3 linked regions of the Tamandua tetradactyla genome follow. The protein of the gene in region 1 interacts with the protein of each later gene in a pairwise test. Links are inferred from orthologs where the notes say so. Each region holds a gene or a part of one and is shown on either strand. Other genes may lie near its edges.

What was found.
Region 2: the proteins of ZBTB9 (region 1) and PIN4 interact in binary tests that used the Homo sapiens proteins (3 or more experiments, as listed by UniProt). The two-hybrid records come from large-scale screens. The link is inferred for Tamandua tetradactyla from reciprocal best matches to the Homo sapiens genes ZBTB9 and PIN4.
Region 3: the proteins of ZBTB9 (region 1) and TSR2 interact in binary tests that used the Homo sapiens proteins (3 or more experiments, as listed by UniProt). The two-hybrid records come from large-scale screens. The link is inferred for Tamandua tetradactyla from reciprocal best matches to the Homo sapiens genes ZBTB9 and TSR2.

The regions. Positions count from the first base shown.
Region 1 is NC_135331.1:89,436,054-89,439,802, forward strand, and holds the start of ZBTB9 (zinc finger and BTB domain-containing protein 9), read left to right. Parts: upstream 1-1,297; 5' UTR 1,298-1,481; intron 1,482-1,718; 5' UTR 1,719-1,797; coding exon 1,798-3,189; 3' UTR 3,190-3,749. UniProt on the Homo sapiens protein: May be involved in transcriptional regulation.
Region 2 is NC_135353.1:99,189,528-99,193,276, reverse strand, and holds the start of PIN4 (peptidyl-prolyl cis-trans isomerase NIMA-interacting 4), read left to right. Parts: upstream 1-1,411; 5' UTR 1,412-1,500; coding exon 1,501-1,543; intron 1,544-3,749.
Region 3 is NC_135353.1:114,273,058-114,276,806, reverse strand, and holds the start of TSR2 (pre-rRNA-processing protein TSR2 homolog), read left to right. Parts: upstream 1-1,560; 5' UTR 1,561-1,600; coding exon 1,601-1,681; intron 1,682-1,843; coding exon 1,844-1,934; intron 1,935-3,749. UniProt on the Homo sapiens protein: May be involved in 20S pre-rRNA processing.

The sequences.
Region 1 (3,749 bases):
AAGTTGTAAATATGTGAAATTTTATCCCTGTGCCCTTTCCTCTGCTTTCCCCACCTCAGGCCCCTACCCCTGGACCTCTTTCTTCCTCTCCTCTTTGGCTGTTGTAATTATCTGGGGTTTGTACTGTACATATCCGGGGTGTGTGTGTGTGTGTGGGCTGGGGGCAACTCCTCTGTACAGAGCTTCCTGGCCCTCCCTTTTGTCCCCACCCAACCCACCAAGGGTAGGGAGCTGCTCTTCCTACCTGTTTTATTTTGTTTTCTCGTTCTCCCTCCCAATCCAACTCCCAAACTTCTCTAACTCCCACCACTGTCCCTTTTTCTCAACTCCCAGCCTCATTTCCTTTTTTTCTGGAGTGTGTGGTGAAACAGAAAAATCATGTTTAATAAACGGAGATCGTTCTTTTATCGCTGTGGTGCCTTTCATAGGCTGGGACCTCCAGACCGACCAGTGCGATCTTCATTTTTAAAGTAGGCTGACAGCCTGGGAGAATGGCCATCTACCCCTCCGTGATGCTACAGCCCTCAAAAAATATCACTCCCAAACCAGCGAGGAGATTTATTCCATGCTGTTATCGAGAGCAGGGGTTTTGCAGGGACAAGCCAAATCTCCTCAGTCTAGCTCTCCCCGCACCCACTGCTCCACTTAGGAAAGAAGCGAAGAGGCCGGGATAGAGCGGCATTATCTAAAGGATTCCAAGTCTATATCTACATATATCTAATTTCAAAAGGTAATTCTTGCAAATAAGGTTTAATTGTCGGTTATAATACTCCTATGCCATACGAGGAAAGTCTGGTTCGTTAGCAAATATGGGTTCCCATCCCAGGCCCACCATTTATCAGGCGAGAGACTTAGCTTCGGTTTTCCTCTCCTGGAAGCTGAGGACCGCAATGCCTACTTTGCGGGGCTGTTGGGTGGATGCGAGGTGATGAGGGAAGGTGCTGGCCCACAGCAGGCGCTCAATTAGCCTCGCCCCCATGGGCACCTACCGGCGGGGGAGAGGCGGGCGCTACACTTACTAGCCGGGAAACGCAGCTTTCCGGGACGACTTACAGTTCGCCCCTTCGTTCCTGGCTTCCCGACCTCCCGGAGTGGCGGAGAGGTCAGCAGCATCCCGCTGTCCCCCAAAACGCCCGGGCTCCAGGCTCCAAGCTCCAAGCAACGCCTTTCTCACCTGGGCAGCCAATCAACCACAAGCTTGTAGACTACCGGCCTCCGATTGGCTGCGGCTCCGGCTGCGGCTCTAGTCCCGCCCGGCGTCGGCGTCCAGCGGGAAGGCGGTGGCTTCCGGCCCGGGAAGGCGCTGGAGCTGGGGAGGTGCTGGGGTGTCTACCCTGAGTGTTCAACGGCGGGGGCGTGTCGGCGGGGAAGGCAGTCTGGTGGTGCCCTGCGGTCTCTCGGTGACGGTGGCCTCCCGGCAGCCCTTCTCTGGAGCATCGTGAGGGGGAACGGAGAAGCGGGGTAGGAGTGGTCCGGAACAGGTGAGGTCAGGGACTTCCTCCTCCTCAGTTTCCGCGGGCTCTGGAAGTTAAAACCCCGGTTTTTGCTTGGTGATGGTGTTTTGTTTTTGTTTTATTGGTGGGGAAGGGCGCAGAACTGATCTGCGGAAACCACCGCTGATGGAAAAGTTTCCAAATTTGGGGGGGGGGGCGGTTGTTTGAGAAGACGTGGTTCCCCTTATCCAGGGCTTCTGTAACTTCCATCTCGTTTCTCCACAGCCTGTATCCGCCCTGGGGTCTATCCCCAGTCCCCATCTCCTCTTCCTGATCCTCTAGGATCTCTCTTTTCGAGGAGGCCATGGATACATCGACGCCTTGGCCTCCTGTGCCTACCTCCCCGATCTTCAACCCAGCCCCACGGACAATCCAGATCGAGTTCCCTCAGCATAGCTCGTCGCTGCTGGAATCCCTGAATCGACACCGACTGGAAGGGAAGTTCTGTGATGTGTCCCTCATGGTACAGGGTCGAGAACTTAGGGCCCACAAAGCAGTGTTGGCTGCTGCTTCTCCTTACTTCCATGACAAGCTGCTTCTGGGGGATGCACCACGCCTCACCTTGCCTAGTGTCATTGAAGCAGATGCCTTTGAGGGGCTGCTCCAGCTCATTTACTCAGGGCGCCTCCATCTGCCACTCCATGCCCTCCCTGCCCACCTCCTTGTGGCCAGTGGACTCCAGATGTGGCAAGTAGTAGATCAGTGCTCAGAGATTCTTAGAGAACTAGAAACCTCAGGTAATGGAATTTCAGGCCATGGAGTGACCCCCTACCACACCCTTCTTTCCACCACATCCTCTCCAGGAGGCTGGTGCATTCGTTCTCCTCCTTTCCAGACCATGGTGCAGTCCACTGCTTCTACAGATAGCCCTGTGGGAGGGGAGGGAAGTGAACTGGGAGAGGTGTTACAGATTCAAGTGAAGGAAGAGGAGGAGGAAGAAGAGGAAGAAGAAGATGAGGACCAGGGATCAGCAGCACTCTCTCAGACTCAACCTCAGAGAGTATCAGGGGGGTTTCCCCACTCTCATGGATCCCACCCACTGCCCATAGCTGTTACTCCACACAGGCTTCCAGAGGGTGAGAGTGCACCGACTGAGCCTCCTGCCCCTCCTACTGTGCTGCCCCCCAAAATCTTCTACATTAAGCAGGAACCTTTTGAGCCTAAGGAGGAGGTATCAGGAGGTGGAACTCAGTCTGGAGGAGCAAAAGAGGAGACCAAAGTGTTCCCTGAAGGGGACAGGGAGCTAGGGTTCTTACTGCCCTCAGGAGCAGGGACAGCATCTGGGGGAGGGAGCCCATCCTGGAAACCAGTGGATCTTCATGGGAATGAAATCCTGTCAAGAGGTGGAGGACCTGGGGGAGCAGGACAGGCTGTACATGGGCCTGTGAAGCTAGGGGGAGCACCCCCTGCAGATGGAAAATGCTTTGGTTGCTTGTGTGGGAAACGGTTTGCAGTGAAGCCAAAGCGTGACCGGCACATCATGCTGACCTTCAGCCTTAGGCCCTTTGGCTGTGGCATCTGCAACAAGCGCTTTAAACTGAAGCACCATCTGACAGAGCACATGAAGACCCATGCTGGAGCGCTGTATGCCTGTCCCCACTGTGGTCGTCGGTTCCGAGTCCATGCCTATTTCCTTCGCCATCGGGACCTATGCAAGGGCCAGGGCTGGGCCACTGCCCACTGGACTTACAAGTGACTGCTGAGGCCATACATTGACTTCCAGGACAAGAGAGCCACTGCTGCTGATGGATACTCATCTCTCATTACCCTGGCACCCCAGTCCTGGATATTGCAATCATGCTAAAAGGATGAATAGATTATGGTTCTGCAGGTGCTCTCTTGTTCTTGGGTATGGGCCTCAACCTGGCAGATTTGATAATTCAGATTTTTCATCTCCAGGTTTTTGCTAACCACTTCACAGGAAAGTGATTTACATGCGATATTTAAATAGATCACTTGCCCATAATGGACCTTCCTTTCCTAGTGGTGATATCCATTCAGGAAACCAAATTTCATATCAGAAGACTATTTAGTGAGAGAAGTGTTAGAGCAAAGAAGACATAATGATAAATGTATCATTCTGTGTCCGTGAGGAGGTAAAGGAGCTGGTCTCCATCTAGGGATACATTTGATTCAGTTTGAGTTATTCAGGGGCCAAATTCTAAACTTTCCTCTCCCTCATCACTGCTGTAATGATGTGAGCAGAGTTCTTTTTCTGTATTTTTGTTGTTGTTGTTGTATCTTTGTAGAAACCTC
Region 2 (3,749 bases), on another chromosome or scaffold:
TTTGAAGCCAGGCAGCCTGGCTCCAGGAATTCAAACTTCTGAAGCTGGTTAGATAGGGAAGGAGGAAGGGGGACGTGATCCTAAGCCCCATAACAAAAAGTTCCTTTTAGTGCGCACATACCTAGCCCTCACTTAGGTGGGCACCTGAAAAGAACAGATGAAAAGTGCATCTCATCAATCCCTTATTAGCATAGCCAAAGGGGGAAGGGCCCCTCCAAGATCTTACAATGCAAGGATCTCGACCTCAAACTGCTTATCCTTTGGAAAATGCCTGCGCTCATCTTCAAGCAGGTACCTTTGCTGAGCATTAACGTTTAACCACTGGCTAGTCTTTGGATTCTTTGGCTGTACATACTGACTAGTCCTCAAGTTCTTTCATGCTGCTGAGTCAAGAACCTTCACGGCATCAGCCCTTGCTCAGGGTCTAGATTTCTCTACGAATTTCCCGGGGTGCTCCGGCATCGAACTTATTAAACTATTTGTCTGTACACATTGACTAGTCCTTACATTCTTTCCTGAGACTGAGTCAAGAACCCTCATGCGCAAGCCCTTGGCTGAGGTCTCGATTCTTCTGAGAACTCCCAGGGTTGTCCAGCTTCACTTCTACATTATGCTGCACCATTATAGAAAGGTTGAAAAATACACAGAAGAATATACAACCATCTCTGTACTAGCACCACTGGTCATATTTTGCTGTAGAACCTTTCTGTCTTTTATATGCAGGTATTATATAGTACATTACATACTTTAAAAAAAACGGAATCATATTCTATAACTTGGTCTGTACCTTCCTTAAGGGCATATCTGTACACACTACCTTACAATCACTATTTTAAATGGCACGTGGTATCATTTTGTATGGCTGAAACATTTATTTAAGCAGAACCCTACTGAGGGACGTTTAGACTGTTTCCAATTTTTCTCCATTACAGAGTTCTGCAAGGGTGATAGACTTTTTGAAAAATTACCTTTTGGACCCAATCGGCTACAGCTGCAAACTAAAACTGAAAACCGAAAAACCTCAAGGGAGGGTAGGTCTTTGTGTGACAGCGAGTGGGACAAGGGGACTACCACGTTGCCTCTTCTCGCTCTCGTTTTGTCTGGCAGCCTCACCGTACAACCCATACCTGGCGCTTAGGGACTGCTGCTTCACTACTCCGGCGGGGAGATGGGGGGCGGGGGAGCGAGGAAACTGATGCAAACAAAGCTGTGAGAAAGACATAACAAAAATCGCCAAGGCGGAGTTTGCCTGCCACGATTCTACTTTTGGGTCCGCCCCCTACTCGGATCCAAGCTTCTCATTGGTCAGACCTCTTCAGGCTCATTGGTCAGAGGGCCAAAGGACTGGGCCTGCCCTAGGCTGTGCCTGTTTCCGGAGCCGCGATAAAAATGGCCAATTGCGATGCTGCTTTCCGGCATTGTTTAGGACATGCCCATGAGGTCCTAAGGGGCTTTGTACGGCAACCTGAACGGTCGAGAGTTCATCAGCAAGTTTCGAAGATGCCGCCGAAAGGAAAAAGCGGTTCTGGAAAAGGAGGGAAAGGTAGAGCGGCCAGACCAAAAAGGGAGAATCTGGGCGTGTGAGGAGCGAGTGGAGGGAGCGGACATGCAAACCCCAAGGTCCGTCGGGACAAAGGCAGCTAGTGGCCGAGGACCCGTAGAGCTGCCATAGATTGTGTCCGGAGCGGCACCAGTGAGGCTGAGAAGACAAGTGGCGGGAGGGCCTTCTGGAGTTGTAGAAACACTTGGGGTACGATGCAGGTACTGTCCTGATAGGTAATAGAAGCCGATGAAGATGGTTCCTCGGAGGTGATGACAGGAGACTATATCAAGGGGTTATTGGGGCTCTAAATGTAATCTTATCAGAAGTCAGCAATCAACCCGAGTCCGCATTGATCGCGTTCCGTAAAGTTCCCTCTAATGCTTACGGAATGATGTGCCTATCATCGGGAAAAGGCTCATTCATCCATTGAACAGAAATGTGTCAAGCGCCATGCTAAACGCTGAGGATATAAAAATAAGACACATGGGGGGAAAAAAGAGGCAGATGAAGCAATATAGAGAGGAGACTAATTAGAAGCATTGATTGGGATTGGGGCTGCTCCATAGTTTGAAAAGGGGAAAATACATCAAGGAGCTTCATTAACTTCTATAGATTTAAATATAATAGCTCTGAAATGTATTAAGAAAATGAGATAGAAATATATGGGGAAATGTTTCCTAACGTAATTGTAAATTTATTATACTGCTCGCAGATATGGAAATACCAAGTTTTAAAAAAATAAATAAGACTTATTTGTTCTGCAAAAAAATAATAATCTTATCTCCCAAAATAGTGGGGAAGGAAGACGCATAGTAATCATAAAGTATTGTGCTGAATGCAGTGCTGAGAGATGCGTACGGGATATTATGAAAACTAAGGAAGTGCTTAGTTAGGCAGGCCCAAATAGGCGGTAGAGGGTAAGGCAGAGCCTTCCTGACAGAGGGTTCATCAGGAGAAGCACTGAGATGAGAAACAGTCTGGTGTGTGCCTTACAGTGTTGCTGGAGCAAAAACTCAGGACAGATGGTGAGTAGTGAGAATGAAGATAGTGACAGAAATTAAATCATACACAGTGCAAAGAGCAGTGGTTAAGAGTGAGGAGATGGCAGCAATGGTCCTGGTGAGAGATGAGGGTAGCCTGAGCTAAGGTAGTGACTGAAATAGAGAAGAAAACAAATTCTATAAATATTTAGGATGTGAAATAGGTTAGACTGGTGACTTATTGGATGGCAATGGGGAGGGACCAGGGATAGTTTTCAGTTTTCTGGATTGGATTTCTAACTTGATGCTAGTTCTGCAAACAAAAATCAAGAATACTAGAGCAGGGTTGAAGTTGATGAGTTTGCTTTTAGATATGTTAAATTTGGGGTGTCTGTGGGATATCTAAGTAGAGACTTTGTCAGGAGGTAGTTGGATATTTGAGTCCAAAGGAGAGGTATAAGCTATACATGTAGTTTGAGGAGTTTTTAACATATAGATGATATATGAGAGTGTATGAGATTACCATGGAGAGTTTACAGAATAAGAAAAGCAGAGGGCAGAGGCTGTGATCCTGGAGCAGGCAGAGAAAGAGGCAACCAGGTACAAGGAATGCAGTAGAGTGGTGTCCCAGAGGCCAGAGAGACCAGAAAGCTTCAAGAAAGAAGATATGGCCTATCTAGCACAGCAAAGAGGCCAAATCAGATGAGAACCCTAAAAACCTCTATTTAATTTTGGAAATGGGAGGTGGCCTTAGGCAAGAGCAGTTGGTTTCTATGGATGGGGAATGTAGGAGCCAGATTGCAGTGATTATAGGACTGACTGGGAAGTAGTAAGGCAGAGACAGGCAGTGTAGACTTTTCTGGAAAGTTTTCATTTAAAAAACATGGAAGTTGGATAGTAGATAGAGGAGGACAAAGGATAAAGGGAAAGCTTTACTTTGTTTCTTCAGAATGGAGAAAACTTGGGAGTGAGTCTAAGATGAAAGAGCCAGTAGAGTTAGGTGAAGGTATGGTGGAGTGAGATTTAGGAGATAATGGGGTCCAGGACAGAGGTGAAACAATTGACCTTTGAATAGGAGAAGGAGCACCTTATACTTGGGATCACAGAGAATGAAGCAAGGATGGGTGTGTTTGTAAAAATTGGGGCTAGGGAGGGGGAAGAGGTAGAGATTATAGAAAATAAAGTAGAAGGCAAGGGTAATTGTTAAGACCGAAAGATAGGGACTG
Region 3 (3,749 bases), on another chromosome or scaffold:
TTCTATTCTGGCTACTTTGTATTTCTTTTTCTTGCCTAATTGGCCTGGCTAGAACTCCAGTGCAATATTGAACAGAAGTGATGAGATCACCCACCCTTGTCTTGTTCCTGATCTTGGGGGGAGGTATTTGGTCTTTCATCATTTCAAGTTATTTTAGCTGTGGTTTTTTTTATAAATGCTCTTTAACGAGTTAAAAACGTTCCTTTCTCGTTCTAGTTGTTGATTGTTTTTATCATGAAAGGGTGTTTGATTTTATCAAATGCTTTTTCTTCATCTATTTTCATGGTCATATAGGTTTCTCCTCTTCTATTCTATTTATATAGTGCATGATAATAATTGGTTTTCATACTTGAACCACTCTTGCAGTATGTTTGGTACAATTCACCAGTGAATCCATTTCTGCCTCAGTTTTTCTTTGTCAGAAGTTTTTAAAATTACTAACTCAGTATTTATTTGTTATATGTCTATTCAGATTTTCCATTTCCTCTTGAGTTAGTTTTGGTATTTTGGTATTTCTAGGAATTTGTCCATTTCCTATAAATTACCTATTTTGTTGGCATACAGTTGTTCATAGTATTCCCTTTTATTCTTTTAGGGTTGGTAGCAATCTCTTTCTTATCGTTCCTGATTTTGGTAGTTTGAATCTCCTCTCTTTTTTTTCCTTGGTGAGACTAGCTAAAAGTTTGCAAATTTTGTTGAAATTTTCAAAGAACCAACTTATGGTTTCATTGATTTTCTGTTTTCTTATTCTATTGTCCGTTCGTTTATTTCTACTTCAATCTTTATAATTTCCTTCTTGTTTGTGTTTACTTTCTTTTTCTAGTTTCCTAAGGTGGATGATTAGGGTTATTGATTTGAAATCTTTTTCCTCTTTTAATATGGATATTTACAACAATAAAATAAATTCCCCTCTAGGCATTGCTTTATCTACCATCCCGTAAGTTTTGTTATGTGTGGTTTTTATTTCATTCATCTCAAGGTATACTTTCCCTTGTGATTTCTTCTTTGATCCACGGGTTATTTAGGACTATGTTAATTTCCACATATTTGTGAATTTTCCAAATTCCTTTCTGTTATTGGGTTCTAATTTCATTCCATTGTGGTGGGAGCACATACTTTGTATGATTTCAATCTTTTAAAATTTATTAGGGCTGCTTAAGCTCTAGCTTACGGTCTACCCTGGAGAATGTTCCATGTGCCCTTCAGAAATATGCATATTCTGCTGTTGTTGAGCACAGTATCCTACAGATGTTAAGACTTTTTTAAAAATGTAAATTCCTTAGGCTGAGCTCCTAGAGGTTGATTCCTCTGCCCTGGGACCCCGGAATCTGTATCTTTAATAAAGCCTCCCTGCACAGTATCCACCAGCCGGGAAGCTAGCCCCAACCATCCTCCACTCCTGGCATTCTTCTAGTTAATTATCACTGGGGAGTAACGTGGTTTGTCATCATTCGCTCTGATAGGCTTTTCTATTGTTCTAGCCTTGTTGCCAGGTCAGCGGAAAAGCAACTTTCTAGTTTCCGCATCGGCCTTCCGCTCATTCTGCCTGGGCCGGCGCGGAAGACATTGGGCGGCCTGGGTATCACGTGGTCCCAAGGTGATGGCTGGTGGTAGGGAGGATTCGCGAACACTTTTTGCGGCCGGCATTCGCGCGGCGTTGGAGGCCTGGCCGGCCTTGCAGGTGAGTGAGGCCAGGATGGGATAAAGATTAGGGCTTGGGGCAGAACAGGAGTCGGCCAGGCGAGGCGCCCGAGGTTTAGCTGGGCGGTGTAAGTGGCGAGCCCCCACCCCACTCCAGGCCGGCGCCCTTGCTGACGTGGTGGGATCGGGCCTGTGTTTGCAGATCGCCGTGGAGAATGGCTTCGGGGGCGTGCACAGCCAGGAGAAGGCTGAGTGGCTGGGGGGTGCCGTAGAGGAGTACTTCATCCGCAATGGTGAGTGAATGTGAGGCGTTCGGACGTGTTTATGTGGAAGCGTGGAGAAGAGCCGCTCACTCCTGGAAAAGTCGGCACTTTCTCCTGGGCAATTGTCATTTTGTACCGGAGTGCGAGGTGGAATGAATAAAGGCTTAGAGTTAGAATCTTGGGTTCGAGTATCATGTTGGCCATGCCACTGACTCATATTCTCTGGACAAATCATTCCAATTCTCTGGGACTCGGTTTCTTAGTTCCTAAAATGAGTATATAAGTATTTACTCCAGCGGTGTCCAGTAGAAGTATATGTGAGCCAAATCTTGTCATTTAAAATTTTTAGCAGCCACATTAATAAAATATAAAGAAGCAGTTGAAGTTAATAATATATTTTATTCAACTCAGAATATTAAAAATATTTCTGTCAAATGAAACAGTATTAAGAAATTTTACTCCCCCTTTTTTTTTTTTAGTATTAACCTTTTGAAACGTGGCGTGTGTTTTACAATTTTAGCACATCTCAATTTGGCCTAGCCACATTTTAAGTGCTCAGTATCCAGATGTGGCTAGAGGCTACCAGAAGAGCTACACGTTAGGCTTCTGTAAAGGGTCATATAAGAATAAGGGGCCCAGCAGATGGGGCCTGTTGCATAGTATGATTTTTATATTCATTCTGTAGCCTTGGAAATGACTTCAGGCTGAGTCATTTCTCACATGAAAGTTTAGTATCTACTGAGGGATCCAGACAGAGAAATAGACAGTTACAACAGAGGGTGATAGAAAGGAGCTCTGGGTGGTTGGGAGAACATGAGACTAAGGAAAAGGTTTCTTAGGGGAGATGGTGATGGGCTGGATCTTAAAAGATGAGAAAGGGTAAACTAGAGCAACACCTGCCTAAGTTATGTGGTATGAGGAGTTATGTGGTATGAGGAGATAGTGTGTTACATTTGGAAAATGGCAGAAAACTCAGTGTTGGAGTAAGGCTGTTTGTGTGTGTTATGTGGGGAGGTTGTCATAGAGAATTAAGCTGGAGTGGGGGTGTGGCACCTCTTGACCCAAAACACTAAGATATGGAAGGCCTTATGTGCCTTTAATTTTAACGTTTAGACCACCATTTGCCAGAATGAATGTTTTGGAAGACTAGTTCTGTTATCTGTTCAGTGAAGAAAAAGCTTCACTAGTCAAATTAAGAAAAGCTCTTTTCTTCAGCTCCCACTTAAGAGTCGGGACACTTATTAATGTATTAAAGGCTTGGATAAAGTCAAGAACCACTAAAAAAGAAACCTATTTACCTTTGTTTCCTAATTTTCTATGGATAGAAACCCAGCAGAAGAGATATTTCCAGTCAGACTATGAAATAGTAGCTGATACAAATTCATAGGCAGATTCTAAGGTGAGTGATAGGTTGGGGTTTACTAGCTAGAAACATAAAAAAATAATCAGCATGGACTGGAGGGAGAATACTGATAAGAGGACTGTTTTTGTCCAGAAAATGAGGTCTGAACTAGGGCAGTGGCAATAGCCATGGAAAGGAAGGGGTAGATTAGGATCATGGAGATTATTTGACTGCAGAGGGGAAGGGAAAAGATGACAAGTTTCTGATTTGAGTGGCTGGGTGGACTACGTACATTTCATGGAGTAAAGGAAACCTGGAGAATGAGAAACAGGTTTGGAGAGTAAGGTCATGATGAGTCTGGCTTTGGATATGGAGGGTCTGAGGTGTCAGAAACATTTAGTCAGAGTAGTCTGGGTTGGAGACAGATTTGGGAGATACTAAGGTACAGTAGTAGAGAAAGCCAAGGGCATGAATGAGTTTCCTCAGGGAGAGCATATACAGTG